7 linked regions of the Xenopus tropicalis genome follow. The protein of the gene in region 3 interacts with the protein of the main gene of each other region in a pairwise test. Links are inferred from orthologs where the notes say so. Each region holds a gene or a part of one and is shown on either strand. Other genes may lie near its edges.

Region 1 (3,770 bases), on a different chromosome or scaffold from region 3:
TATTGTTTCTAGTTCTTAAGTCAAGCAATAAGTAGGAGAACTCAACAGAAATACTGACGAACGGGAATAAAAATGTTTCCCCCGCCCCCCAACTGGTACCACACTAGGAAAATTATTACTGGCTGGTTATTCACCTTTTATTAAACTTTTAGTATGATGTAGAGAGTGATATTCTGAGACCATTTTCAATTGGTCTACATTTTTAATTTGTGTTTGATTAATTATTTATCTTTTTGTTCAGCTGCTTTCCAGTTAAAAACTTCAGCAGGAATCTGGTTGCTAAGGCCCAAATTACCCTGGCAACCAAGCAGTGGTTTGAATGAGAGACTAGAATATGAATAGGAGAGGGCCTAAATAGAAAGATAAATAATACCAATTGGCAATAACACATTTTTAGCCTCACAGAGCAGTAGCTTATGGGCTGCTGGGGTCAGTGCCCCTGTATGAAAGCTTGATAGAGTCAGAATAACAAAGCAAATTGTTCAAAAATGATCTAAAAAAAAAAAGCAGTTAAAAATTTGCAATGAATTGGCCAGCATACCAAAATTTAGTACCCCTTTAATTGCCTATATGTGTATGTAGAAAGCACAGACTGCCTAAAGGGATAATTTATTATAAAAAGTACAATGTACAAGACTGTACTATAGATCATCTTGGGAATGATTAATTTAAAGGGAATATATCAAGGGCTATATATTATGTATAAATTGTATTAAATGTTATAGCTCCCAGTGGGTCACTGGGTTATAGGTCCCAGTTTTGGTGGGACAGTTATAAACACCAAAAAAAGATGGAGCTTGCTAGAAAATGGATTGTGTTTCAGGAAGATTTAATAAATAATAAATGCTTTCTGAATTCAGCATACAAGTGTGTTTCATTTTTGCATATTTATTACATATGGGTGCCTCCAGGACCAGGACACAACACAGGCAGGTTCCCTTCTCAAGGATTCACTGCATTTTCAAAGTTCCTGGAGCTACCTGAACAGTTCCGGGCAGGTTATACGAGTCAGTTCAGACTCACTGCAGCTTGCCTTCTACTTAACCCTGTATGTGCCAGTGCATCCACGGTGACTAATGCTACTAATCCTGCACTTACAAGACTAACATTTTTTTTTCAATAATTTTATACAGTTTGTACAATAAACCCTTTTCATTCCAATTACAATATCCCTTTACAATGCAAGTGTGTCAGACAGGCAGACCACAAAGACAAGTGTTTATTCACCAACACATGGCAGTGACATTATGAGCTGCACTCAGGCCTCTGGTAACCCTGAAATGTTGCTGTCATGCACCTTTTTAAGAATAATTGTTAATATTCAGTGATACTGCTTTTATAATAATTGTCATTTGATTTCTGTAAGGAAGTCTGTGTCTGCCTGTTGTGCAAACTTTTCCTATATCTATAAAGTTAGTCCGATTTCCATTTACACATTATACAACCTGTGGCAACCTAGCTATTGTTGAACTACAAATTCTATTCTATTCCCTTCATCCAGCACTCAGCAACAGGTGTGGCAGCCACTACATTATTCATTATCTAAACATGAGAATTATGGTTAAATGAAAAGCTGCACAGTTCTTGCATCTTACCCATTAGCTTTGCTTCAAGGCGGCGAATCTGTTCATTTTTCCTGGAGATCTGAGAGGAAAGGTCTTCCCTGGAGCTGCTGCCATCTGAGGCCTAGGAAATCAGAATAAGTGATGTTTTTATAAACTTTAAAATGTAAGTTTACAGGTGCATAAAGCAAATTTACAGAAAAAAAATCCTCTTCATAAATGCCCACATTTGGGGACTTTTAAAGGCCTTAAGATAGCAATAATAGGTTTTTCTCTATATCTGCAGATTCCCCAGTTGTACGCTGAAATGAGGCATTAACAGATCTAATTTTCAGTCCAGACATATCAAAGTTGGTCCAAGGTGACCATATATATCCAACAGGGGCAATAAGGTAAAAATCTATCAAATCTGTGCATGAAGACCACTTTTAGTTTGCCAATTCATTACTTGTTATTATCTTACAAGTAAATATTTTAAACTGTAACTCACAAAATCATCTCCTGAATCAGCCCCTGCTGATGTGATGGACTCCCTGCTAATAGTACGGGGGATTCGGGCTGCCCCACCAGGACGTGGAGCTACAGCTGCCTCCTCTGCAATCTTTTTTTTCAGCTTGGTGAACATAGTTTCCACTTATTTGCTTCCTCAGACTTCGGTAAGAGAGTCTTAGAAGAATAGGTATCCGTAATCCTTTCCAGTCCGTGAGGTTGCAGTGAAGAGTGCTTCAAATCATCACAGAATCCACATTAAACCCATAATGCACCTGAAAAGGTATATTTTGAAATGTTATTAATCTAGTAACTCAATCTAATTTTGAATGTAAAATGCAATTTTTTTTCCACTGGCAGTGGCCCTAGCACATAAAAGCTGGTTATTTACTAGCAAAACAGCAGCAGGTAAATCCCTTGGATGGCACTAGTGCCATGCTATTTTAGCTCAATGCACTGGGCCACATATTAGGGCGATGGTTCTCAGCTTTCAGGGTGAGAACGAAAGAACAAAAAAACCTGGTTGCTTGCCACACCATAGAAAGAGAGAAAAAAACCTCATTAATAATGCACAGTCACCTGATTCTAGTGACAAATGCAAATGCTAAAACTGTCATTTAGAAGAGTCTGGCTTAAGTTTAGGCAATAAATGAGTTCTTTTATCAAACCTCTAAAACGAAAAAGACCAATGACCCGAGTGTAAGGGCACAAAACTCAAACATGGTGTCAAGCACAACGGAGTCATGACCTTGCCCTTTAGGGCATGACTAAATGGCACTCAAATTTGGGGGCATTCCAGGGGTTGCCTTTGTACTACCCACCAGCAGTGGATTCAGCCTGATGCACAACTTTTTGCAGGGCTTGGTGCAAATTGAAACAGCTCAGTGGAAGCTTTCACATAGCTTGCCTTGCTTGGTAAAGAAAGATATATGGAAAGAGACAAATATAATAAAGATAGATAAAGGAGCAACATAAATGATAAACCTCTGTATAATAAAGGTTTAATTCGCCTGGAGGCAAACCACTGCAAAGACTGCTGTGAGCACTGCATTGCCATTTTATCTGCCAGCTTTGCCTTGATGGTCCCAGTATGCACAGTAGGGTAATATTTTCAACAGGTGTATTCCCATGGGTGGAGAAAAAGTCTGGTGTACCTGAGGTACTGAGAAATAATTAAGACACCTCTTTAGAAGGAGCTGAGTAGTTATGTGCAAGTTGAAATTTGGGCGACCATTGGAGGTTTGTGTTTGGTGAGGGTCAGACTGGGAAAGTACTTGGTCAAAATGAACTCTTCACATTTCTGTACAATTGCACTTGGCATTGCTCAGTCCTTCCTGCCTTGTGTTCCGAATCTGCGCTCACTGACCCAACCGCCACCTCCTGACCAGGCAGTAGCTCCAGGGTTCCCTTGGTGCCCTGCACACTGGCACAAAAAGAATAGGGCACATCCATTTGTCGCATGCTGAATACTGGATATGACTCCAGTCAGCAACTGCACCCAATTTATAATGTAACAGTGGCAGGCACAGCACTATTGTGTCATGAAAATCACCTGTTTGATTCCGCTTGTGCCTGAATTCTGGAGAAACTGCATTGTGGGGAAAAAACATAGCGATTGCACTTGATATTGCACTCTGAACAGTGCATCTTATTGTCAACATAAAGTAAAAGGAAGAGCTACAACATATCTGATCAAGCCTGCAGGATAATAAGGGCTCT
Region 2 (4,525 bases), on a different chromosome or scaffold from region 3:
ACCTTGTGCCAACAACAACTGATGACATGCCAATGATCCTTCAGTTTTGCGATTATATGTTAACAAAAGGAATTCTGGGAGTGAATTCCAAACTCTTAAAAAAATCCCATTTACATGGGTTTATCCTATAGGCTACAGCTCACCCACTGGGTTTGAAGCTGAAGCCAGTGGGTGAGCTTTAGCCTATAGGATAAACCCATGTAAATGGGATTTTTTTAAGAGTTTGGAATTCACTCCCAGAATTCCTTTTGTTTGCTTTTGTCTGTATGAGGCAGTCTCCTCAAACTAATTTATTTGCGATTATATGTTGTGAGCTCTCTGGTCTGGGAGAGAGTCTGAAGAGAGAAATAGTCCCCCCCTTGGGTTCTCTCCTGCTCTTTCCTGTACTGTACTCCTGAATGTCTCTAAATATTCTCTTGTGAGGTATAAGTCGAACAGGGTGATCTGCTACAAAGCCATAGGGTCCCATTTTTTCTGGAAAAAAATACAGGGCTTAGTGTATATTTACCTGTCTTCCCTATTAATAACATTGGGAGCAAGCATCGTTTGACATTTGTATGTAAGTGATCAAAATATTAAAGGAATACTGTCATGGGAATTTTTCATATCAGTTAATAGAGCTTCTCCAGCAGAATCTGGACAGATGTTTTTATATTTAATTTTGACATTTGCCATGGGGCTAGCCATATTCTTCATTTCCCAGGGTGCCACAACCATGTGACCTGTGCATTGATAAACTTTTACTTTACTGCTGAGCTGCAAGTTGGAATGATATCACCCCCTTCCCAGCAGTCGATCAGCAGAATAATGGGAAGGTAGCAAGCTAGCCACTTCCAGTAGGTATCAGTATAGCACTCAATAGTAAGCAATCCAAGTCCAGCTTGGGACTCCTCCAGTTACATGGGAGTAGGAGAAACAATAGGTTGCCTAAAAGCAGTTCTAATGTGTAGCACTGGTTTTTTCTGAAAGCTCAGATTCAGGCACAATGCACTGAGATGGCACCTACACACCAATATAACAACTAAAAAATAATACATTTGTTGGTTCGAAAATAACATTTCAAATGGTAAAAATTACTGTGCTTCATCATCATTGTAAAGAATGCGCAAATGGAAGTAAGCCAGGAACTGGGAAACGACATGTCCACAACAGGGTAGGAAGGAGGGAACCCAAGAAGTGTGTTGGGAATTATGGGGGTTGTAATTTGTTGGGTTGCCTGCATTGGTGTCCACAAATAGGGGCAAGGGGGCACTTGTCCCTTTGGAATTATGCATAGCTCCCAGCTGCCTGTCCAAGATCACTGTTTATATATCCCATTTTGCTTTTTGTTCTTGGATCTTCTCAGCTCCCTGTTTCTCGAAAAAACATCCAAAATTGGTGCATGGCCATCCTGGATTTTTTACATGAGCCAGGCAGAGGGAGGCAGAGAGAGAGACAAGCAGCGTGGGAGCAGCAGGAAAGAAGGGCTTTGGTGCTGGAATTCTGTTTGTGCAAGTGTAGGTGAGGGAATGCTTTAGGTCTATCTGTTTCTGCATTTATCTTACTGGAATATATGGAGTTAATGTAGTGCCCATTGGACATTTCAACATCATTATACTGTCACATCTGGGGTTAATATGCAGATTATTCATTTTCCATAGTAATTATATTGGGGTTAAAATGGCCATTTTCTGTTTCATTTAGTGATTATACTGGCTCTTTTTTGGTTAATATGCTCGTTGTCCATTTTCTGTAGTAATTGTACTGGCACGTCTTGGGTATGTTTTAGTAAAATGGGTGTGGTATTTAGGGGTGTGTTTGCAAAGTGCATGTTACATAGTTACAAAGGGCTGTAAAAAGACCAGACTCAAGTTCAACCCTTCCAAAAAAAACCCAAAAACTTTCGCAGCACAGCGCACGGCAGATTTTCATGGTTTATACTCTTTACTTAAACACCCCCTAGTTATACAATTATGTAAGGCGTGAATAACCTTTTGTGCTTTGTTAATAAAGTGGTTTCCTTCAAACTTGGCACCTAGTTACTGTATACAGGTTTAGTCTTTGCCCCAGTTATTGGTCACCAATATTTTTTTTTTTAAATGTATTTTTTATTGTTAAATTGTTAATACCAGTCCTTGCCTAGATAAGGTTTCACAACCCAAACACTAGAGTCAATGTCATCACAAGCCAGTTATCCTTCCTGTATGTTTTTGCAGTGTAGAATACCTGGAGGTATGTTCTTGCCCTTTTAATTTTTGAATATTGCCATTTATTTGCAATGTTTGTGCAAGGTTTGCATTTAAAATGATATATTAAATAAAGTATTATTTAGCACTTACTTGATAGTAGATACTTTCCCATTTATCCCTGAGAGTCCCCCAGCTGCTCACAGTTGAAGACTTCTTGTCCAGATAGACTCTTATATGGTCCTCCAGCTCTCTGTTCACCTGCTCTAAAGCCCTCACTTTGTCTATGTACTCAAGAAGGCAGCTATTCAGAGACTCAAATGTTGGGACTCTTCCTTTATCCAGACCTTGAGCTGCTGGAACAGGAGGGCCTGAGCTGCGCAGTCCTTGCATGAAAACACTGCTGATGCCCAAGGCCCGTCGAGACACTCGTGTACCAAGGCTGCTGGTTCCACTACTTAGAGCACTGCCTACATATACCCCAGGATTCCTTGGTGCAATGCAAAAGACTCGGTTGGTTGCACCTGAACATTCTGAAGAGGTGTAGTGGTGCTGTTGCCCCAAGATGGAAGATCTGCGCCTTGGTAAAGGCATGATGCTAGAAGATCCCACCACAGTTTCTGGTCTCAGACGCTCTATTGCCAGGCTCAACACACAATTATTTTTGGCTTGTGTATTTTCAGTATAGAATCCTGTCATATGTTTTGTTCTAGAACATTGTGCTTGTACTGACTGTCATGGAGTATTTGTGCCTCATTGTCCTATGGTATTCAGTACCTCAGCAGTTCCATTCAGGAATGTTCTGTTGTAGCAAATAGTGGCAGATGAAAGAAGGTGAAATGGACACCATGCTCACATTAGAGTTGTGTCTGAGCTTCATTCAAAGGGTGCAGGACATATACAGTATATACACGTTTATATTTTCCCAACTATAATTGTTTTATATATATATATATATACATATGGTGGGGGACCAAAACGTTGAGTCTTTTTCTTCAATCAATCATTTTTTAAATCATGTGAGTGCTGACAATGGTTGCTTATATATATATATATATATATATATATATATATATATATATATATATATATAGCGAACCCAGGGTGGCACTCTGGGTTCAGGTGGCCCTGCCTATTTTTGAGGCTGAGTGTCTCCCCTATCTCTCCCAACTATTCAGGCAGTGCCGGATTTCAAATTGGGGTGCCCCGAGGCCGCCCCCTTTGTGCGCCCCCCCCCGCCACGAGCGCGCATATGGAGCAATGGGGAGAGATCCCCATTGCTCCGTATGGGAGCAAAATTAAAAAATTTCACTGCAGCAGGGCAGCATGCCGCCTCTAAGTTTGCGCCGCCCTAGGCCCGGGCCTTTGTGGCCTCGCCACAAATCCGGCCCTGTCTTCAGGCTAAGGAAGGGACACCCTACAAGCTAAGGATACCCCCCCTGGTTTTTCAAATGTTGGGAGGTATGCATTAACCCCCAACTTAACAATGAGATCACTGCAGAAATGGATAGTGGGCATTCCATTAACTTCCGACTCACCAGTGAGATCATTGCAGAAATGGGCAATAAGCACATAATTTATACAGTTATATTGCATCTATTATGTATTCTATTAAGCCTAGGAGCTGTTCCTGCTGAATTGTCCTTTGTACAATGGAATAACTACAGTGTGCTGCCATTAAGTTATCTATCTATACAGGCTATGAAAAAATGTATGGGGCCGTTCCTGCTAAATTGTGCTTAGCACAGGGGAATACCTATGCTTACAAAGTTTTACAGAATCTCTCTGTACAGGTTATGAGCAAACATAGGAGGCTGTTCTTGCTGAATTGTGCTTAGAATATAGCAATACCTACAGTATACTGCCATATTTTTATGGTATTTCTCAGTACAGCCTATGAACAATTTTAGGGTGCTGTTCCTGATTAATTGTGCTTAGAACGGGCATACCTATGTTGCCATAGTTTAATGGAATCTTACAGTACAGGCTGTAAAAACACATAGGGGGCTGTTCCTGCTAAATTGAAATAAGTACAGAGGAATACCTATGGTGGAGAAGAGGCAACATGGCATTTGTGGGGTTGGGAGGTATTTGGGGTAGGGGCATTATGGCATTTGCTTAGTTATGGAGGGTATGTGGGAAAGGGGCAGCATGGCATTTGTGGAGTTGGGGAGTGTGTGGGGTACGGGCAGTATGGCTTTTGTGGAGTTAAGAGGGGTATGTGGGGTAGGGGAACATGGCATTTGAGGGCTTGGATGGTATGTGGGGTAGGGGCAACATGGCATTTGTCGAATTAAAGGGGTATGTGGGGTGGGGCAGAAAGGCAATTGTGAAGTTAAGGGGGGTAGCATGGCATTTGT
Region 3 (4,412 bases):
GAATCTATGGTGCCAAGCACTATGGTCTTACATGCAGGCACCAGTGCAATTGGCACTAAAAGGGTTAAGATCAAGGTTTCATTATAATGTATTAAAGGGAAAATAGAAAAGAACCCCACTTAGTTCATTTTGAAAACCCAAGCTAATTTATACTGCACAAATAAAGAAATCCGACAAAAAAGTAACTACAAAATAATTTATTAAGTAGACATTCCACAACATTCTTAAGTGACCTATATACAACATACACACGCTCCAGCTTTGTTCCCTATTCAAGAACTTTTTGCTCGTTTGCTTTTGGCCTGTCGGACTTCAGCTATCAGATCTTTCAAATACTGGATCTCTTTTGTTAACGAATCTACTTTTTCTCTAAGGGTATCATTTTTTCCCTCTAGTTCTCTGCACTCTCCAGATATTAACTCTTGCTCTGCTCTTTTCTTCTGTCTGTAGCGAGTGGCTGCTGTTTTGTTCTGCTCCATTTTCTTTTTCTTCTTGTCTACTCTGGGCTGCCCTCCAGCTACTTTCACCTTCGCCATCACATCTCTATCCTTACAGGGAAGATCATAAGGTTTGGGTCTCTCAGAGACTGGGGACTCTAGGGAGGACTGAGGACTACTATAGCATTCTACAGTTGATGGACTCTGCTGAGGGGATTCCAAGTAGGAGGGGCTCATGCTGATTCCACTATCATTATCAGAGGAATCTTCCTTCTCACATTTAAGTATCTCTAGAGTATATGTTGCAGAGGACTTTTTCTCATCCTCTGCAACATCTACCTCACTACCTACATCCAAGATGAAGGAATGGTCTGGGCTAGAGGAGAGAGAGGCTGTCAAATCTGGGCTAAATGGGGCAACCTGATCAGCATCCAGTGGGGACTCTGGAAGAGAGACAGGTTCAGGTGATGGCACAAAGTGGCCAATCACTGCTGCATGAGGTGGGTCCTCTAGGAAATCACATGAGTCTTCCAACGTGGATGTTAGCTCATCTGGTGAGATAGTGGATTCCAGATCTTCCAACCCAAACAGGGAGTCTAAATCAAATTCCTTCAGATCCATCTTTTCCACCATCCAATCCATGCCGGAGAAGGCGTCCCCTAATAAAGAACAAAGAAGGCTCAGAAAGCAAAGCAACAAATTTCTATCATCTCATAAGCTAAGTTTTACAATCTTTCCACTTAAAATGCCCATTAGCCATTGAACAAATATTTTAACAAATCTATTCCAGTAATGTGGCTGCAAAGAGGTGCTTCAAGCAAAATACATGAATATTCTATTATACAGAAGAGAGACTGAACCCTTTGAAAGCCAGTTTACTTACCATGAAAACTGCCTAAAGATTCAACATAAGGCAGCAGGTCAGAGACGCCATCCTTAGCCTTGTCGCTGGAGAACCCTTGCGATAGGAGGTACCCGGGCACCTCAAATTCATCCTCCAAGAGACCCAAACTCTTTTCAGCCGCCAAAAACGACTGGTTGAAGGGGGACAGAAGGTCCCCCAACAGCATCTCGTCGCTTAACAAACTCATCTTTCTGTAGGATCACGAATTCGACTGGTGATGACAATTTTGAGCTTTCTTCCTCGTATACAGCAATGCTGCTGTGGGATGCCTGGAGAAGCCTGCATAATAAAAGCAAATATTAAGAACATTATTAAGAAAAACATGCTTGTTCTTCACAATGCTTCTTCACAAGAGCAGTATTATATTCTAGTCTTCTCTTCCCTCATGACCAAATATGGGCACCTTCCCTCCGGCCCCACCCACACCCGGTGATTCACAAAGCTGATCAGCAGCCATTTCACAAGTTAACCATCTGGTTTGTTCTCCACCCTGGTATGGATGCCATTTTAGCATCAAACCCCTTTAAATACAAATTGCTAAACCATCCAAACCATGTCCTAAACAAATGAAGTCACCTTCCTCACATAAGATCATTGTTGAATGCTACATTTTATTGTTAAGCACAACACTAACTGAAAATACATTACTAATTTTCAATGCCATCTGGAGCGCTGTTATGAGAGATTCCCCTATGCATACAAGGGAAACAGCTGTCTCTAGAGAGCAAGTCTAAATCTGCCTGGGGAGAGTCTCATTTCAAAGCACACCCATTAAGAATTCCCAAGCCACACAGGAGCTAGAAATACCACTAAAGGAGATCAAACCCACTGTGACATTGAAACATTTTAGAGAGTCCCCCATTCAACAAACTGATTAAGGCAATAGCTACAATTCCTAGTGGAATTCGTTTAACCCTATGGACACCACCCAGGTTACAAAAGCAGCAAGTTAATAGCTTCAATAATTTAAACCGTAAACACAAGATGCAAGTTCAGGAAATCTGCATTTGTAAGAAAACCCAAAGGTCCCTTTGTGGCCCTAATGAATGAGATGTATATACTGATAATTGTCACTCCAGCAGCCGCACAATATGGCTGATAGCTATTGTCTACCTGCTGTACATACATCGTACCCTAGGGGGCGCCAGAGTCGAGTCTGCCAAGGACAAGAGCCACATGGCAAGACACATAAGAACATTTACGTTCGATCTACCGCTACATTACCCCAGACATTCCTTCCTGCCCCGTTTTATATTAATACTCCTGCATTTCAAGCAATTTCCCACCCCCCACACACACACACTTAACACCTCGCCATGTAGTACATGACCCAGTAGGGATACTTACGCCATGGCTGTGCCGTTGCCTGGTGCTGCGGGCGCCGCTGGGAGCTGCTGCCTCGCTATGGCCGGGGGAGAGGGGAGCCGCAGGCCTGTGCTGCCGCTATAGCGCCATGGCTGTCCGCTGGTTATTGCGGCGCCGGACTGAAGAAATCACTGTTGGAACCTGCTACAGCAGAAGCGTCGCGTCCTCAAACCTTAGTATTTAGTTAACAAAAAAGACCCAGCGACAGCAAACTACGTTCCCTCTTTCATTCCAAGCTGCAGACTGACGTGGCGGGCGATTTACCGCCCCTTTATATAGACTCGTGGTTCCGCCCCGTGTATCCGTCCGCTCTGTAGTCTCTTCTTTTGTAGCGTCGCTCTGACATGTGATCTGACGGCAACGTGTGCCTCCGCTCCAGGAACTATACTGTGTAATGCAATTATAAATGGATCAATAGGGTTCTAACAGAATAAGATTCATCGCGGAATAAATGTGTGCGTGGTGTTTATTAGAGTAAACGAAGGCAATATTTTAGTTCATTGTTTGATACACTGTAGTGCTCTTGTACGAATTTCTGCGTACGCCAGGCCAGGGCAAGACCCAGACATTGTACTTCAAAGAGGACAATGTGTCAGTGTCACCGACGTAGAAAGTAGTGTCAGTCGCCCGATACAAATGAAAACCATTTCGGTCATTAGTATAATAATCCATGTTTGAGTGACTGGCGATAGACAGACGAACAGGCCTGATAGATTTTTATTATACGTTAAATATAACATTTTATCAACACCCCCTGCTTTGCCACAGTCTATGAAAGAGGCAAGGGGTAAATACCACCAATACGGATAATAAGCACTTGGGGCAAATATTATGGCGTTCCCCCGAAGTAACCAAGAAATAAAACTCCTGACACCACTTTTTCACTTTATTTATATTGGCTAATTAAGCATTATAGACATAAACGAAAAGGGCGCGCTAGTTTTAATTAATTCATTTGGTGTGTCACGCGTGTTCCTGGCATTGCCCCTCCCCACTGTTATGGAAACAAACCCACGTCCCACTCCCACATTATCCCCCCCCACTCTGCCCGCCCTGCCACCAAATGGTGAATCCGCCCAGAGACGCTTTCATATCACGAAGCCAACGCGTGTACAGCTGCCGTTGATTGGTTGGCCCAGGCAGCGCCCAATCCCTACACGCCGCGCTATTGGCTGAAAGCGAATGAGCCCTCTGAATCACGCAGTGGGCACGCAAAGCTGCTGCACCAGAGTGAGGCGGATGGGCGGGGCGCCGGCGCTGGAATGTGAGGAGAATCGCTGATGGGAACTTGGGAGCGTGTCCTGGCGCTGCCATATTTGTCTCTTCCTGCTCGTTTTGTAGCTTCGCTGAAGTAAAGTGTATACACTATAAAGAGCATCTGTTGTTGGAGCATTCCTGAGCCCACATGTTCGTTGTAAAGTCAGCCCCTGTAACATTACAAATTAAGTGGGAGCCATTTGGTGTTTTAAAGGAGTATGAAGTATGTTGTGACAGTTCTGGACTATACCATGTTAACTGCTACATTTGAGGGGGATTACTTTAACACTCTGCGCTTATAAATGTGGCTACACTTTCAGTGTGATTAGTGGCACCATATGAGGTGCATAAAGTGGCAGCTGAATGTGGGGCCACATTGGGGCGCTTATATATCTCATTATCCGTAGTCTGGCCCTGCCTATTACTGTGGCCCCTAGTGAAATTTGGCA
Region 4 (4,436 bases), about 5.4 Mb from region 3:
TGGCAGTATACATGGTCTTTATTTGTTTAAAACTTACCTTCAAGTCAGAAATTAAAAAATGAGCACCAGCTTTTAGACGACTGGGAGTAACATCAGAGGTGTTAGTGAGCAACATGTTGCTCATAAACCAATGGTTGGGGATCACTGGGTTAGGGGGAAACAATAGTTTTCCTTGAAAAAAAAAAAGCCCATTTCAGCGCTAGGCTAGCTGCACTGGGAGGCCATGGGCAGCCATGTTGTGACACACATGTACATAATAAGCAAGTGCCACAACTCATTATGCGCGTGGCTGTGATGTAGGAGGATGAGTTGTATTAACCGCTCCCATGTCAGGCGCATGAGCATACTGAGCAAGCGGGGAAATTCTGTCAATATGCACATGTGTGCCAAACAACTTGGCCACCCGCACCGGGCGTTCCCTCCGGCGGCAGCTATTTTTTTCCTAGAAAAACTATATAGGGGAAACAGGGATTGTCTTTCCATATATTGCAATATATTAAAGTCAAAGAAGCCTTCAATGGCACCCGATCAAAATCTTCTAAGCCGCCCGATCGGCGAGTCAACCGATATCAGCAGCCTCCTGCGATAACGGTCGCCTCACCGACTTGCCATACATGCAACAAATATTGTACGAAACAAGGTTTCGTATGATATTAACGGTGTGTCTATGGCCAGCTCTAGATGTCACTGTGATCCTCACAGTATACACGGTCCCTTAGACCGATTCGGCAGCTAACCGGCTCGTGTATGGGCACTACCGACAGGCCTGCCCGACCGATATCTAGCCTGAAATCGCCCAGATATCGATCGGGCAAGTTAAAAAATCTAGTCGGAACGGGGACCGCATCGGCTCGTTGATGCGGTCCCCAGACCGACTTTGCCTAAACCCGTTGTTATAATTCGATCGTTTGGCCCCAGGGTAGGTGGCCCACCCGTAGGTGGGGGATATCGGGAGAAGATCCGCTCGCTCCACCCACAGAACTTACAATTGTATTTAATATTACACAGCACAGGGCACTACTTTCTGGGGATAGGGCAGTCTGTTATGACAGGGGCAAGTGATGAGTAGAAACTGGACCATTATTGCACATATTTGGACAGAACCAGGAACAGACAGCTTACCAGATAAAAGCTGAACAGGTACCATCCCTGTTGGACTCAACGCTGGGCCTCAAAATGAAATATTAATATAAAAAAAATTGAAAACCACTAAATTAAGATCAAGTATAAAAATTCTAATTGATTTTAGACAATTGTTAAGTTCTCCATTAAATTTTAGTGTAACATGCTGATAAGATACGTCTCCATTAAGTAAATAGTTTGGCAGCACCCTGTATGATACAGTTCTGCAGAACACATACAGGTGAGGAGTGCAAACGAGGCTGTTCCAGGGACCTCATAGGGAAGGACAGCAACTTGTAACAATAAAGTTACATATGAAAAAGAAAAAAATGGACTTGGGATCTATGGGCGGGGCCGCTCACCACTTGCCAACGACGGATTGGCTGCCTCTGCTGCCTGTCGGGGGATTGCATCATGCTGCCCGAGAGAGGAAAGATCCGAGTGATTTCGCAACAATCTATTGTGCGGTTCGGATGATCCACAGCCCCGAGTGTCCGGAGGAGGAGTAACCTACGGATCCCTAGTGAGGACAGGGGAAACAAGTCGTGGGGGAGGGATAGGCTTCCCTCCCCGGGCAGGAGGACCTCGAAGCCATCAGGTAAATTGTACTGTACCGGAGTAGAAACGTCTCAGAACGGCTGCCTTTTACCTGGCACCCTGCAGGTGTTCGGCTGTATTTCCCTTCAGCGCTCACAGTGTCTGGGTGGTAGGGCATACTGGCATTTGTACCTAGAGACACCACTTCAGACACTTCATGGCAGTCGCATAACTCAGAGGGGAAGAAGTTGTAATTAAAAGTTGGGGTTCAGCCTTTAGTTGGGATACCATCGGCCTCCAGCTGTGGCAGGGCTTTCCTTCTGATGGGGGTTATGGGATTTGTAGTTCTGTAACAGCCTGAGCGTTACCCTTCTAATGCAAGAAGCATACGTACATCGCAAAGCCTTAAGTGCTAACTGTTACCGGAGGGCTGGCAGGGAGATGCCGCCCTGGGAATTGACATAGTTTGTGAGTGGCTTTGCGCTGATCCACACTCAGCCCACTGTCGCATCCGACTATATCGCACATGCAACAGTTGTGCTCTAAACCTTGACTATTCCGTAGGTTTAAAGTAACAGCTTTCGGTGGGTGCTGCTGGCCATCCCCCCATGTTGTCCTCCTGAAAAGTCTGACCCAGACTATTCTGTATTGCATAGCTTTGCCTGTGCACATAGGAACAAACTCATTCCTTATATCAGATATTTCCTATTATATGTGCTTTATAGGTGTGTGATGCTTTTAGAGAGTGGGGAGAGCCCTGGCGGATACTGGTAGGAGTACAAACTGTGTAGAGGGAGAAGCCCCTGCCTTAATGTGCTTTGTATTGTATGATGGACCATTAGCCACTATTCAAAAACAAACCGAATACTCACTGAACACTGCAATAGTGTATTTACTGAGCCTGTTATGCCAGGTGGGAAACTACCAGTTGTAATGGACATTGTGACAGCCAGTGATGGTTATGGCAGACCCCAGATCCCAAACAATTTGGTTTATAGTTCATGTGCCTAGCTGGGTGTTGATAGAGGGGATTTGGCCTTGAAAAAAATGGTATTGCTTATTATAGGCTGTCTTGTCTATTCAGAGTTATTGTTTTTCAACGGATTAAGAGTTCTATGGTTGCTAAGCAGTATATGTAAGGGATATTTTTTTATAATAACACCTAACAATGATTACTTAAAAGATAACTATACCCCCGGGTGCAAAAAGCCCCCTTAACTATCATTGCCTAGACGCCCTCACCTCGCAGTTGAGGTGGATTTCCTGCTACCTGCAACTGCACATGAGCAAGCAGGTTCATATCAGCGGAGAGACTTTCTGTGTATCTAACTGGTAGTGTAGAATATTGTATAGTTTCAGGAACTGATTTAACTTGCCTGTCTGCCTGGAGGTGCAGCCACATTCAGTTCACTACTTTCCAATGTAATTGATGGGATCATTAGTCAACCCAGTGTTCTCTTTGACCAGTATACTATGGTGAGAATACACTTGTGACTGAAGTACTAAATTGCAAATTTGGCCTGACTGCTTACAGTCTGAATGACCAAGATGTCTGAATAATTGTGGGCATACATGTTAAGATCTGCTTATTTGGCGAGGTCAGCAGATGATCATATCTTCTGCCAATATGCCCACCAAAGGTGGGCAATATCAAGCTAAATCAATAATTTTACCCTAGGGCCAAATGAATGCAGCCCACAATCCAATGGGAAAATCAAGCCTGCCGATTGACCACTGGACAATTTTCGGGCAGATATCATTTAGGAGGTTTGTCGGGGTGGGGGGCATACGCATGCAGATAAGCTGCCGAATCAAGTCGGCAGCTTAAATCTGTCCCTGGGCACCTTTAGTTAGCTTGTGTGTCCAGTGGTTGCAGGTTAACTTAGCTGCCTTAGAACAAGGAGAATCAGGATATGATGGTGACTTAACGCTTCAGTTAGTAAAAACAGTAATGGGCAGTCAATTATCAAGCCAATAATATTTAAAGTAAATGCTGTATATTCATTTACAGATAATCTTTAAGTTGTTTGTATGTTCACCCTGTGCTTGTGTAGGTTTCCTCCCAAGAATGACAATTCTACAAGCATTAAATAGTATAAAACCGGTAGGGAATTGAATAGAAAGACACTTAGCAAGCCCCCCATGAGATGAAGATCAGAGGCCAAGGTTGTGCCCGTAGCTTTCTTGTTGATATCTATAGTTTACCCTGTGTAGTGAGTTACATTGAATTCTAAACTTGGATTTGCTAGCAAGTTGATGGTGGCATGTACTGTGCAAGTGTGATCATGTTTAGCTGAATGCTGGGTGTCTCACTTACCTCATACAGAAAGTAAAACTATTCCAGAATAACCCATGACTGTTTCAGAGTTTCCATACTGCACTTTGTGCTTAGTATGACTCAGGATTTCAGGGCAAATGCTTAGTAGCGGAGAAAATTGTGCCATTCTGGCAGCAGCATTAGAAATGCCACAAACCTCACTGGATTCTAACTGATTCCTGAACTGACAGGGTTTCTGCTCCAGTCTTACATGTCGCATCATTCTCAGGAACTGTTAGTAAGGTGTGTGTTCCGCAAGCGTGTGCAGCCACACGTATTTAGTCACGTAGCTGTGAGCCACATTTCATTATATAAGTATCTTAAAGTGATACCGACACTAAAAAACTACTTTTCAAAATATTATTGTACCTAAAAAGTTACCTATAGGTCATGTTGATAATTTTTCACAGATAGGGCTGCTTTTTGTTACTTGAAGTTCCTAAACCTGACTGTTTAATCA
Region 5 (4,404 bases), on a different chromosome or scaffold from region 3:
CCTTTAAATCAAGCAGACATACATAGCAAGAACTCCCTGCAGAAATCTGAGGCAATATGGTCCCCATGGCTAAATGCCATTGCCCTATTAGACCTGCCCAGTAACTTATTTCAACCAAATAAACAGAGCTTAATCTGAAAGGTTGTCTTTTTCTATTATTGATACAATGACGGATTATTGAATAAAATGACCGCTTGCCATGGTACAAAAGATATCGGGTGATTATTTGGGGTCCACACATGGACTGAAAATCATACAAAATGTAGTACTGGTTTGGCCAGCTTAAGTCTTAGTGAGATCTTAAGCAATAAGGAGGCAATGTAATCAAAATGGCAACTAGATCTAGTAACCCATAGCAACCAATCTGCAGGTAGTGCTTACTAAATTAGGATCTTGAATACAATAGGCCTCGAGACTGGTTACTGTTACAGGTTAGTCTTTATTTTTTTTTTTTTTTATACAAATAACCTTCACACAACATGCACCATAAAACAACTATAAAACTTTGCCAGCTCGGTTAAAAAAAAAGGTAATTCCCCTCTAAACACCCTTAACCGAACACAGATCTAAAAGGTGCCCATACACGTGAAGATTCGCTCGCTTGGCGAGGTCGCCAAGTGAGCAGATCTTCAACCAATATCCACACCTACAGGTGGCAATATCAGGGAACATGTAGGCCAATTCAATCGTTTAGCTCTGGGGCCAAACAATCTAATTATAATGGCGGCAATGGGGCAGTCAGTTCGGGGACCGCATCTTTTAACTGGCCCGATCGATATATGGCCAATTTGGGGCAGATATCGGTCGGGTATGGCCGTCACTTCTGCCCCTACAGGAGCCGATAAGCTGTCATATCGGTCCAAGGGACCAATATCAGCAGCTACAATCGGCCCATGTATGGGAACCTTTAGTGTGGGAATGGACCCAAGCGGAATTATACAGGGATTTTTTTGGCCGCTGTAATCTGCTCTACTGCAAGCAACAAAACTTCACTAGGTTTTCCCACCATTAATTCATATTACTGCCGCTGGGAAGGAAATTTGGGATATTTTGTCAGCTGGAGCAGCGCAGATTTAGCAAAGGGGAACAAAATGTTTGTGACATTGCCCTGAAGGAAAGCAGCCTGTATTTATATTCAGTTAAACAAATGGACATTAAACAAGATAGTGATTGGTTTCATTTTATCATCTTGTTGTTGGTTCTACAGTCACTCTCAGCACCTGTTTAACTATGGGTGCCTTGTAATATCCATTTTGTGAGTAAAGGTGGCCATACACAGGCAGATTTAAGCAGTCAATTCAAGCTCTTTGGACTCTTCAGAAAGAGCATTTAGTTAATTGTTAAAGACTCTGCCCATGACTTTAATTTTGCTCTTAAATATTTTAGTTCAGTTTGGCCAGGGGGGTGGAAGCCTAAATTTCATCTGGCATGTGCAATTTCTATAGTTTTAGATTCTACCATCTACAATAATATAGGGCAGGTAATGGATCACCAACTTACATCCCGTGAGAGGAAAATTGAGGAAATTGAGCAGCAGAAAATGGAAACATAAGAAATCACGACAGCTTGGATAACTGAATTGCCGTTTGTTTTGGCCAGCAGTGTTCCATTGTCCTATTCTGTGACAAGCTCTATCAAATGATGTATATGGTATGCTCCAGTGTTTAGGAGATAAGGAATCATTAACAGACAGTCCTTGGAAAAGGGCAAATGAATATGCCTGTAGGACAAGCATTTTATTACTGGTCTGTGCCTGTACTCTCCTTTATCGGGTTTAATAAATGCCTTGGCTGATTTCAACCCCCCTGGTTGCCTTACAGCAGCACCAGGAGTGGGATAAAGTTAAATGGCTATGAAGTCAGGCAATACACGCACCGATAATATACGATATTTGGTGCGTGTATGGCAACTCGGCAAGGCGACAGATATCGCAGAAGGTTGCGGATATCGGTCGACACTCCAGTCGGGAGCCATTGAAGGCGTCTGAGCAAAATCTGCCTTCAGGGCTGAATCGACAGAAGGAGGTAGAAATCCTGTTGTTTGTACCTCCATATCTGCCGTTTCAGCCCTGAATGTCAGCGGAGGGTTGGAACGATCTTTTGTGCGACCACCATGTGGCCAGCTTTAGTGCTTAATCTATGCCAGCTGCTGTGTGATGGGAGTCACATTGGGGTCCGGACAGCTGGAGAGTGGGATCTGCTGCTGGGCTGCTGTGTCTGCCTGGCTGCTCCAGCTGAGAGACAACAGGGAGGAAGGGAGGGGGAGCCACCGCTGTATTGTAATCCTGGGCTCTGTAACCGGCAGCAGTGCGAGAGTGGGCTCTGGGACAGGCTTAACCAGCACTGACTGGCCCTGCCTCCACTCATTCATAAGCCTCAGATACCTGGGATGCCGTAGGTTCTAGAACTGAGCACTCTTTGCCCTTTTGGTCCCATATAGATTGTAAGCTCTACGGGGCAGGGACCTCGTTCATCTTGTTTCTGACTCTTATTGCAACTGTACCTTGTATTTATTTGTATTTATTGTTATACTTTGTATTTATCCATTATCTTTAACCCCCTGTTTGTATTAATGTATTCTACTGTACAGTGCTGCGTACATAAGTAGCGCTTTATAAATAAAGACATACATACATACATACATACATTTCGCCCCAACCAACAAAACAGACTCTAAAGAAATTATAGAGCATCTCCCCTAATGGACCATACCAGAACGAACAGTCTTACCAGTATCAACACTAAAGATGAACTACATCTCTCATCTTATAGACTCAGGCTCTGCACAGCGTTGGAATAATAAAATGGTCACAAAAAAACGTCACTGTGCGCTTGCCTTACTAGAGCCGGATTAAAGGCACACATAGGAGATGCCGATACCTATGTCCAAAACTCGCTGTAATCAATATGAACACAAGAAATAACAATACCTTTCTCCACGTAGGGTCTGTTCTCTTTTGACAAATAAAGCGACAGCGTGAGCTGGTTTGTGGTTGCACGTTAAGAGACTGTGGGCTCATGTTAAACATCGTCTGCGTCTTCAGCAAAACGACTGAGGATATGTGCGAAGAAGCCGCGTTATATAGCTCGCTGCCTTAGCCAATCAGATCGTCGATCCCAATCTAGCGTACACGACCCTTATCCTATTGCTTCCTCATTCGCCTCTAGCCAGACGTTCCGGGGAGGACTTCTATTGCCAGCCCCCAGGTGCCTTCTACAGCCAATTAGAAGGCTAGCTGAAAAAGCATAACGAGGTATGAAACGCAGAGGCCCGTCAACCGGAAGCCTAAAGGCGGAGACACTTGGGTATGCTGTTGTGCAGTCAGAGGGTGTGTTGCGGAAGTGTTTTGTTGGAAATCACGAGACGAGAGTGAGTCATAGTGGGTGATGCAAGAGCTGGCAAGCTGGGGCCAAGCCTTCCCCCAACCCGAGGGACTTTCCAAGCTTGCTTTTCACCTTCAGGTTGTACGACCTTGTCCGCAACCTGGTTTTATCATAAGAAAGCAACATAAATAGCGAGAACTAAACCTAAAGAAGTAATACAGAGAGATATAAAACCTGCGTTGCTAGAAACAACTAGCGACTAATCCTAACGCCAAAATTGTATAAGGTGCCGGGTTTTTTATCGTTCCAATTATTTAAAGCAATTTCACTTTAGAAATGTAGCTGGCTAGTATACCAACTAAAACACACAGGGGCATATTTATTATAGTGTATAAGCCAGCATGACTTGAGGCGATAGCAACCAATGAGATATTTGCTTTTGTTTCTAACTTGTGATTATTAAAATCTAATTGCTTATTGGTTGCCATGGGCAACATTACCTGTCATGTTGGCTTACACACTGAAATAAATATGCTTCTTAATACCACCTTATAATGTATCTAATTATACAGTTCATTACTCAAAAATAATTTTATTCCAGTTTGCCATGTACATAATGAATACATCTTTATTTAAAAAAAAAAAATCCATGAAAAGTCTATATTAAAAAACCTGTACAAAATATGTATGAAAAAAATCATGAAAAACAATGGAATCCTTAGGTGTAATAGAAGTTAATGTGGTCAAATGAAGTCACTTGATAGTGTCAATGTAGATGGACAGCGGATGTTAGCTGAACAGCATCAATTTAAAATAGCAAAAATACTAAGGTGAAAATATTGAAGCAGTAACAGGTGGGATGGTGGTTTTCCTGATGGAAAAACGAGTTATTTAAGCATTGACTGTTTTAATTACTGAGGCTAGTGCTAGGCATTGGGTATAGATGTATAACTCTTTAATGTACCACCACTCTTTAAATTTGCTGCTTCTCTGCTGTATCTAAAATTGTTGTGCATTGCACCATTATCATCATTCATTTATTTAACCAAATTTGAGGTTATTAAACTGGAAAGGCGCCTCT
Region 6 (3,770 bases), on a different chromosome or scaffold from region 3:
AACCACTGTGATTTACCTCATTAGCTGGTCCTAACTGGAATGTTTCACCCAAAATCTTCAAGCATTCATCAAAGGATAAATCATGTACCAAACTGGGTTTGACCTATAGGAACAAAAAAAAAAAAAGAAAGATGCCACATTATTGTATGTGAATTCCCTATGTCACATGTTTCTTTCATAAACAAGATCTGGGCTAATTACCTCAATGGAACTGGCAAGCTCCTGCGTGACTGCTGCAGTCTCAATAGGTGCAGCCTGTTGGATTGGGATGAATTCCCCTGTCTCCTCATCTAATTGCAGTTGGGCGTAGAGTGCTTTTTCCCGTTCCTTCTGCAGCTGCTCTTGCCGCTCCTTTTCAAGCTTCTTCTGTTTCTCCAATTCATTTTCCTTCTGTCTTTGGTTATAGTCGAAAACCTCACGGCTAACACCGAGGTCAATGTCTTGCTTCCAAAGAATATCAATCAGATCCATATCCTAGAAGAAGTCAAATACATGGGGTTTAATGTCCTGATACTTTTTGGATAATTGTTCAACCCCATGAAGCAGCTATGAAATCCAACACGACTGATAGTGGTAGGTTACATCTTCAACTGGGCTTGGATTAAGCTGATGTGGTAATCTTTCAAGAGGCAGGTGAACATTACCTTCTCATGGGAAGTTGTGACACTGCCAGGTTCACATGAACATTCACACCCATGGGAGCAGACCTAATCTCCAGCTATATGCTAGTAATGATGGAGCAATGTTGAATTCTTTGGAAATGCCTTGGTCGGGAATTGTCAAAGTTGTTGCTCTCCAAATGCCATCAACCCCCTAAAAGCTAATGTTTCCAGGACTTTGGCATTAATAAGCATACAGTTGACAAGGTATATAATTAACTGACAACCCTGGATGTAAAAAAACGTACTAATTCTCTACTAATGGGGCTTAATTCAGGAATCCACATCTAGAAAAGTAAAAGATATAAAATGGATAAAAACAATACTGCTATAGGGTTTGCCTAGAAGTATGCAGGAATCTAACTGAACATCTAAAAGGTTTAAGTATAGACACAGACATGCTTTGATGGTAGCACTAGTTCTAAACCATGGGGATGAAACCAGTTAGGGGGCCTGAGGCAGTGAGTGGAGGAAATGGGGCTTAAAAAAAAAAAAAAAAGATTTGGAAGTAAATTGTTTCTTGTTCTACATTTTCCTGGAAGCCCAGCCTGAGGAACCAAATTAATATTTTAGACTTAGGAACCATGGCAGGATGACAATGTGTTCATAAATCTGTATCTTAGTAAGGAGACAAGGGATGCTTGAACCTGTGAAAAACACTGGTCTATATCTAAATATTAGGGAACAACCATGATTTTTCCTATGTTTTAAATATCCAATTTTCGCTTAGAAATATCTTCACAGCCTATTTTAGGTAAATGTAGGCGAATCTGTCCCATTTCGCTTCGCCGAAAAATTTGCAAAACGGCGGAAATGTTGCACGTAAAAAAAAAATTGTCACCGCGGCTATTCTATTGTCGCCCGCGGCTATACTTTTGTCGCAGGCGACAATTTTTGGACGCTCTGCAAATTTTTCCCCGGCGAATGTTTTCATCCGTTTTGCGAAACAATCCGCCAATGGTGAAATGCATTTCGCCCATCACTACTGGATATCAGTCTGTTCATCAAGCAGGCAGGTTTGAAAATGTCATCTGCCAATGCATATCTGCCAGGGCACTGTGCATCAACAGATGAGAAACTGAAGAGGAGCCACAGCTCCTAAAGTATTGATAACTGCTTTAAGATTACAGCCCTGATGCTACTGCATTATGTCGTCCAACAGGCATGTACCAGTGTTATCTCTCCCTTTTAATTTGCACCCCTGGAAAAGAATTGATCTATAATCAATATCCTAAAAGTGTGCTGAAACCGTGTAGCCCTAATGTGTCTCTACATGAACCAACAAGCTGTCACCTTTGGCCATCGTCCCCCCATTGTGTCGAGCTCTGGGCACCATCAATTGGCCATTACCAAATACAGCAGTGCTGAAACCTTCTGTCAATACCACAGAGAGAGAATTTGGACTACATTTTGGTTGCAAGAAGCTCATTACCAAACTCACAATACGACATCTAGGCAGCAACCTACCCAGAAAAACAATGCACATTTATACACTAGTAGGGCTCATTTATTATTGGCCAGTAACCAACCACTTGATGACCTCCACTCTCTTCTACTGTGGATTCCACCACACAAGCATGTTCAGCAGCTGCTTGTGCTCAGTTTTCTGAAGTGGACACAAGTAAAGTAGTGCATGAGTCATTAAAAGCTCAAAACTATGCTCCTCTAGACCTAATTGGCAGCTTAATGGCCTCCTAATATCCTTCCTGACCTCTCTGAAAATCAGCCAGATTATCTATCAATTTAGCAATTTATCTAGAAAATCAGCATGTTAACAGTTTTCTTTCAATCGGTCTCCATTATGATGTAATCACTAGCCTGGGAGCCTAACAATCCGTAACTGACCTTGTGAGTTGGCGGCCACAGCAGGTAAATACCTGGTCTAGCAATTTCGCAGCACATGACCAGCATACAGGGCATTTTGACCACCACTGTGCTCAGGCAACAAGTATGGGAAATCCTCACAGATGAGGGTTGTAGAGCAGTGGTTTGTGTGCCATGGCATGTTAGGAATACATTGGTAGTGGTGACACATCCATACCAAGCACTTTGTTTTTCTCCTGGGCACTGCGGCAGTCAAAATGCGTTATTATTGTTAACCCAACAGTTTATAGGATATAGTTTTCAATGAAGAAAGGTGTAAACCATATGCATTGATGTGACTTGGGAGAGATTACATCATGGGCCAAATACAAAAGCAAGTGGAGGAATATAATAGGAGGGTTGGTTGGAAACCCAATACTAACACTGGCTCTTTCAATCTAGTTTATTCCTCCTGTAACAAGATAGGCTGGTAAATACAAATGAAAAGATACAGATTACAAGCACTTTAGCACATAGCAAGAGTTTAACAGACAAGATGGGTATGGCTGAACCAATGATCAGAACGTTAAAGTCCATATGTTAGTATTATCCATTGTTTTCATAGACATTATATTCATGGACCTACGCAGGTTTTGTTTAAAGAGAATTTAAACCCCCAAAAAATCACAATTTGCCTAATGAAATGAAGAATTATAAGCAACTTTCCATTGTACCATTATTCTAAATGCTCAATGGTTTTAAAACTATTTGGAAAAATAACTGTGTGCTTGGGGAAGACACACAGAGCTACTTAGTAGCAGCTATATTTTCACTTCTACTAAATACCAGAAATACCCTGCCATACCATACCATTGCCTCTGCTAAAACACACGTAGAGACAATTATCAGTAAATGATCAGCATTGTCTATTTTAGTAGGCGTGACAAGTAGCTGCTACTAGTATCTCTGTGTGTCTTACCTCTTAAAAGCAGTATCTGTTTGTACCTTGCTATTCTCTGCTCTGGTGGTTTTGACTTTTAAAACAATGTAGCACAAGACTGCCTACTAACAAACCTATGAAGGAGCATACAAAGCTGACTTTTTTTTTTTTTACACGTTTCTAGAGACAGAACTGGCAGTGCAGAAGGGGACACTAGTGCTGCTTTCAATTGTAGTTATATGTAGAAATAAAACTGACAAGAGTAACCGACATAGCAGGCTGCCCACGTATTACACATTTCATGAGCAGAATAAAGTTGCCTATCTGGACTGTTAATTATTTATCAACCAGCATTAATCATCAATGTC
Region 7 (3,023 bases), on a different chromosome or scaffold from region 3:
GAACGAGACCACCGTCAGGAAGCAGAACTCCGACTGGAGGAAGCAAGACAAGAGCTAGCAGGCAAGCTAGCAGGAATATCTGAGCTAGAAGGAAGGTCTGAGGTAGCAGAAGAGCAAAACAGAAAGCTGCGTAAAGATCTTGAGGAACTGAGAAAGGAGATAATGGAAGCTAGACGGCAGGGAGCAGAACCTGACCCAGCAGTAAAGAAGCTCCAAGCAGAGCTGGATAGAGTGAAAGAAGAGATGCATGCTCTTCTGCAAGAGGAGAGAAAAAAGGTATAAATACATTGTGTTAATGAAATGTTAAATATATGAGATGTTCCTAGTTAAGATGACTAAATGGGACCACAAAATGAGAAGTTTTGCCTATATGTGCAGATCACTGCACAGAAGTACAGCCTACATCAGCTGATTATCCCATATACATGTTAACAGGAAAGATGATTTGGCATGTTGTCCTCAGTGCTGGAATCATTGCTCCAGAATGGGCTCCTGAACGCAGGGCAAGGATCTGACACATTATGTTACTAAACTTAGCAAATGCCAGACTAGTTGGAATTTAGAGATAAGTAACTAGTTACTTTTACTTATGTACAGCTGAAAATACAGCATGTTGGCTTTTACAATCATATTTTCATATATCCATAACACTTCCTTTTGTTACGGGGAGCATGTGTCAAAAGTTGCACTTATTTCTGAGAGGTCTGAAATACCTATATATAATTTACAGGATATTCATGGTTCTTGTGTATTTTATACTGTCACCCCCCCTACATTCTTCAGTATGTCAGTCTTTTTCCTTTTTATAGTATATTGTTTGTTTCCTTTTTTCGTTTAAGTCTTTCCTTTGTACTTCGTTTCATACATAGTTTACCATGTTGCATTTGCAGCAGTTTTCATAATTTGTCTATTGCTTTTCCCTATTAAGAAGCTGGATGAGGAGCAAGAAACTATGCAGCGTTTTCTACAGGAGGAGCAACGCATCTGTTCCCTTGAGTCTCAGGTTTCCGAAATGTCAGAACTTCTAGGTGCAGCAGAAACATCCAAACAAAGAGATCAAGCAACTATTCGCAAGCTTCGAGAACGTCTAATACAGCTAGAAGCAGAGAACAAGACTCTTGCACTAACCTCTTCAATGCAAACCCCATCTGAAGTTACTTTTAATTTTAATAAAGGGGAGGATATGGATGAGGGTCCAGAGCAGCACGCATCTGTGCTTTTTTACCAGCAAGAGCTTCAGCAACTGAAGGAGGAATTTGAGCGTTATAAATCACGTGCACAAGGTGTACTAAGAACCAAAGGTGCACGGGAGGGAGAACTAGAGGCTGGCAAAAAACAAATGGCAGAACTGAAAGAACGATGTGTTTCTCTGCGACTTTCTGCAGAAGAGGCTGAAAGCCAGCACAAAGCAGAAATGGAGGCTGCCCAAAAACAGATTGCACTAATGCTTCAATCTCACCGGCAGGAGCTAGAATCTGTGCGCAAAGAGGGTAGAGACAATATGGCTCGTCTGGAGGAAGAAGTGCGACAGCATAGAGAACGAGTACTAGCTGTTTTAGCGGAGAAAGAGCAAGAGCTGGAGAAATTAAGAGAAACAAAGATCACATCAGTGGTCCCTCTCTCAGTCCTGGACTCAATTGGCAATGGCCTAGAACTTTCACAGGGTGCCTCCTCCACTTTTATAGTGTATGCAGAACAGTTGTCACGCAAAGAAGCAGAGATTGGAAACCTGCGACGAAGAAAGCATGAACTGGAGTCAGAACTACAGAGTATGCAGGAGAAATTGGCAGAGCAAAAGGAGGAGGCGAATATTCTACAGGAGCAAATGAAAAAAAATGTACGAGACAGAAGAAGGGAGGGGGCAAACATGGAGTATCTGAAAAATGTATTGTTAGGATATTTGACATTGCCAGACCCAAGAGGAAGACAGCATACACTGAGCGCTCTGCTTGCAGTGTTGCATTTTTCTCCGGAGGAACGAAATGCAGCATTGCGTGCACAGGAGGGGAGTAGGTGGTGGGCAGGAAGCAACAGGTGACGTCTTCTGAAAGACTTGCAGATGTTATAAGTAGACAGCACGTTGCACATTTTATTTGGCAGATATTTATGATCATCTCCTCTGTGAGGCTTAGTAATAGTAATAAGCTTAGTAATAAAACTTAAAGACCTTTTTTTGAGAGTATGCACTATTCATCTCAATTAAAAATAAGTATCTGACTTAAAATCTTGGTCCACCTCTCTCCAACTATATGGTTCTGGACTGGAGTGCAGGAGAGTGACTGTGTCTGAGGAACTGTTCTAGAAAATTACTGGTATAAGTGTGAGCTGACTAGTCAGACCATGCTTTTCAACCAAGTTGCACCCAAAATATGGCTGCCTTGGCAAAAGACACAATAAAACAATTGCTATGACAAACTACTGAATACATTGAAAGCCCGCTTGTGTTTTATGTATTAACAGGAAAAAAATTTACCCTGGTTTAATTAACCAAAGCACATAATATCTCCGTATTCTAAGCACAATAGAATTGCAGTTTCTAATCCCAACTAGGCAAACCTTTGCTTCATTTTCTTGTAGTAGTTTTCAGTAGACTGAAAACTAGATTCTAGTCAGTTTCTATTGGCAATTGCACATTTGCAATTTAGCATCTATATTTTAATCAGTCTATTATTGTTTTTAAATTCTCATTTTTAAAGATTGAAACTAGTCTGTAGCCAGGAATTGCTCATTACATGTGCTCACACTACATCAAAGCCGTGTGTGTCTGTGTGTCTAATTGCTGACTTATAGTTATTTCACAAGGATATAGTTGAGTTGTTACATACTGTTCCTCTCAAGACATTGCTTTTCCGTAGCAAATACAATATCTTTATATATAATATCTATATCGGTTCAGCAGATAAGAGGCTAAAAAGAAGCCATGCCACATAGAAATCACTACTCTCAGAACCATGCTGCTTTTAAAGTTCATAATGGGCCTTTTCATCAAAGGAATACTATACCCCCAGAATGAATACTTAACC

The links.
Region 1: the proteins of atf4 (region 3) and golga1 interact in binary tests that used the Homo sapiens proteins (3 or more experiments, as listed by UniProt). The two-hybrid records come from large-scale screens. The link is inferred for Xenopus tropicalis from reciprocal best matches to the Homo sapiens genes ATF4 and GOLGA1.
Region 2: the proteins of atf4 (region 3) and bfsp2 interact in binary tests that used the Homo sapiens proteins (3 or more experiments, as listed by UniProt). The link is inferred for Xenopus tropicalis from reciprocal best matches to the Homo sapiens genes ATF4 and BFSP2.
Region 4: the proteins of atf4 (region 3) and cebpg interact in binary tests that used the Homo sapiens proteins (3 or more experiments, as listed by UniProt). The link is inferred for Xenopus tropicalis from reciprocal best matches to the Homo sapiens genes ATF4 and CEBPG.
Region 5: the proteins of atf4 (region 3) and ddit3 interact in binary tests that used the Homo sapiens proteins (3 or more experiments, as listed by UniProt). The link is inferred for Xenopus tropicalis from reciprocal best matches to the Homo sapiens genes ATF4 and DDIT3.
Region 6: the proteins of atf4 (region 3) and nfe2l2 interact in binary tests that used the Homo sapiens proteins (3 or more experiments, as listed by UniProt). The link is inferred for Xenopus tropicalis from reciprocal best matches to the Homo sapiens genes ATF4 and NFE2L2.
Region 7: the proteins of atf4 (region 3) and gcc1 interact in binary tests that used the Homo sapiens proteins (3 or more experiments, as listed by UniProt). The two-hybrid records come from large-scale screens. The link is inferred for Xenopus tropicalis from reciprocal best matches to the Homo sapiens genes ATF4 and GCC1.

What each region holds. Positions count from the first base shown.
Region 1 is NC_030684.2:28,213,027-28,216,796, reverse strand, and holds part of golga1 (golgin subfamily A member 1), read right to left. Parts: intron 2,327-3,770; 5' UTR 2,188-2,326; coding exon 2,053-2,187; intron 1,687-2,052; coding exon 1,596-1,686; intron 1-1,595. UniProt on the Homo sapiens protein: Involved in vesicular trafficking at the Golgi apparatus level. Involved in endosome-to-Golgi trafficking. Mechanistically, captures transport vesicles arriving from endosomes via the protein TBC1D23.
Region 2 is NC_030682.2:52,673,319-52,677,843, forward strand, and holds the start of bfsp2 (phakinin), read right to left. Parts: upstream 2,866-4,525; 5' UTR 2,865-2,865; coding exon 2,319-2,864; intron 1-2,318.
Region 3 is NC_030680.2:121,049,262-121,053,673, reverse strand, and holds atf4 (cyclic AMP-dependent transcription factor ATF-4), read right to left. Parts: upstream 2,943-4,412; 5' UTR 2,689-2,942; intron 1,621-2,688; 5' UTR 1,508-1,620; coding exon 1,321-1,507; intron 1,097-1,320; coding exon 273-1,096; 3' UTR 183-272; downstream 1-182. UniProt on the Homo sapiens protein: Transcription factor that binds the cAMP response element (CRE) (consensus: 5'-GTGACGT[AC][AG]-3') and displays two biological functions, as regulator of metabolic and redox processes under normal cellular conditions, and as master transcription factor during integrated stress response (ISR).
Region 4 is NC_030680.2:115,638,253-115,642,688, reverse strand, and holds the start of cebpg (CCAAT/enhancer-binding protein gamma), read left to right. Parts: upstream 1-1,597; 5' UTR 1,598-1,720; intron 1,721-4,436. UniProt on the Homo sapiens protein: Transcription factor that binds to the promoter and the enhancer regions of target genes. Binds to the enhancer element PRE-I (positive regulatory element-I) of the IL-4 gene. Binds to the promoter and the enhancer of the immunoglobulin heavy chain.
Region 5 is NC_030678.2:140,584,018-140,588,421, forward strand, and holds the start of ddit3 (DNA damage-inducible transcript 3 protein), read right to left. Parts: upstream 3,034-4,404; 5' UTR 2,930-3,033; intron 1-2,929. UniProt on the Homo sapiens protein: Multifunctional transcription factor in endoplasmic reticulum (ER) stress response. Plays an essential role in the response to a wide variety of cell stresses and induces cell cycle arrest and apoptosis in response to ER stress.
Region 6 is NC_030685.2:65,686,761-65,690,530, forward strand, and holds part of nfe2l2 (nuclear factor erythroid 2-related factor 2), read right to left. Parts: intron 475-3,770; coding exon 202-474; intron 104-201; coding exon 17-103; intron 1-16.
Region 7 is NC_030679.2:89,155,534-89,158,556, forward strand, and holds the end of gcc1 (GRIP and coiled-coil domain-containing protein 1), read left to right. Parts: coding exon 1-276; intron 277-928; coding exon 929-2,038; 3' UTR 2,039-2,427; downstream 2,428-3,023. UniProt on the Homo sapiens protein: Probably involved in maintaining Golgi structure.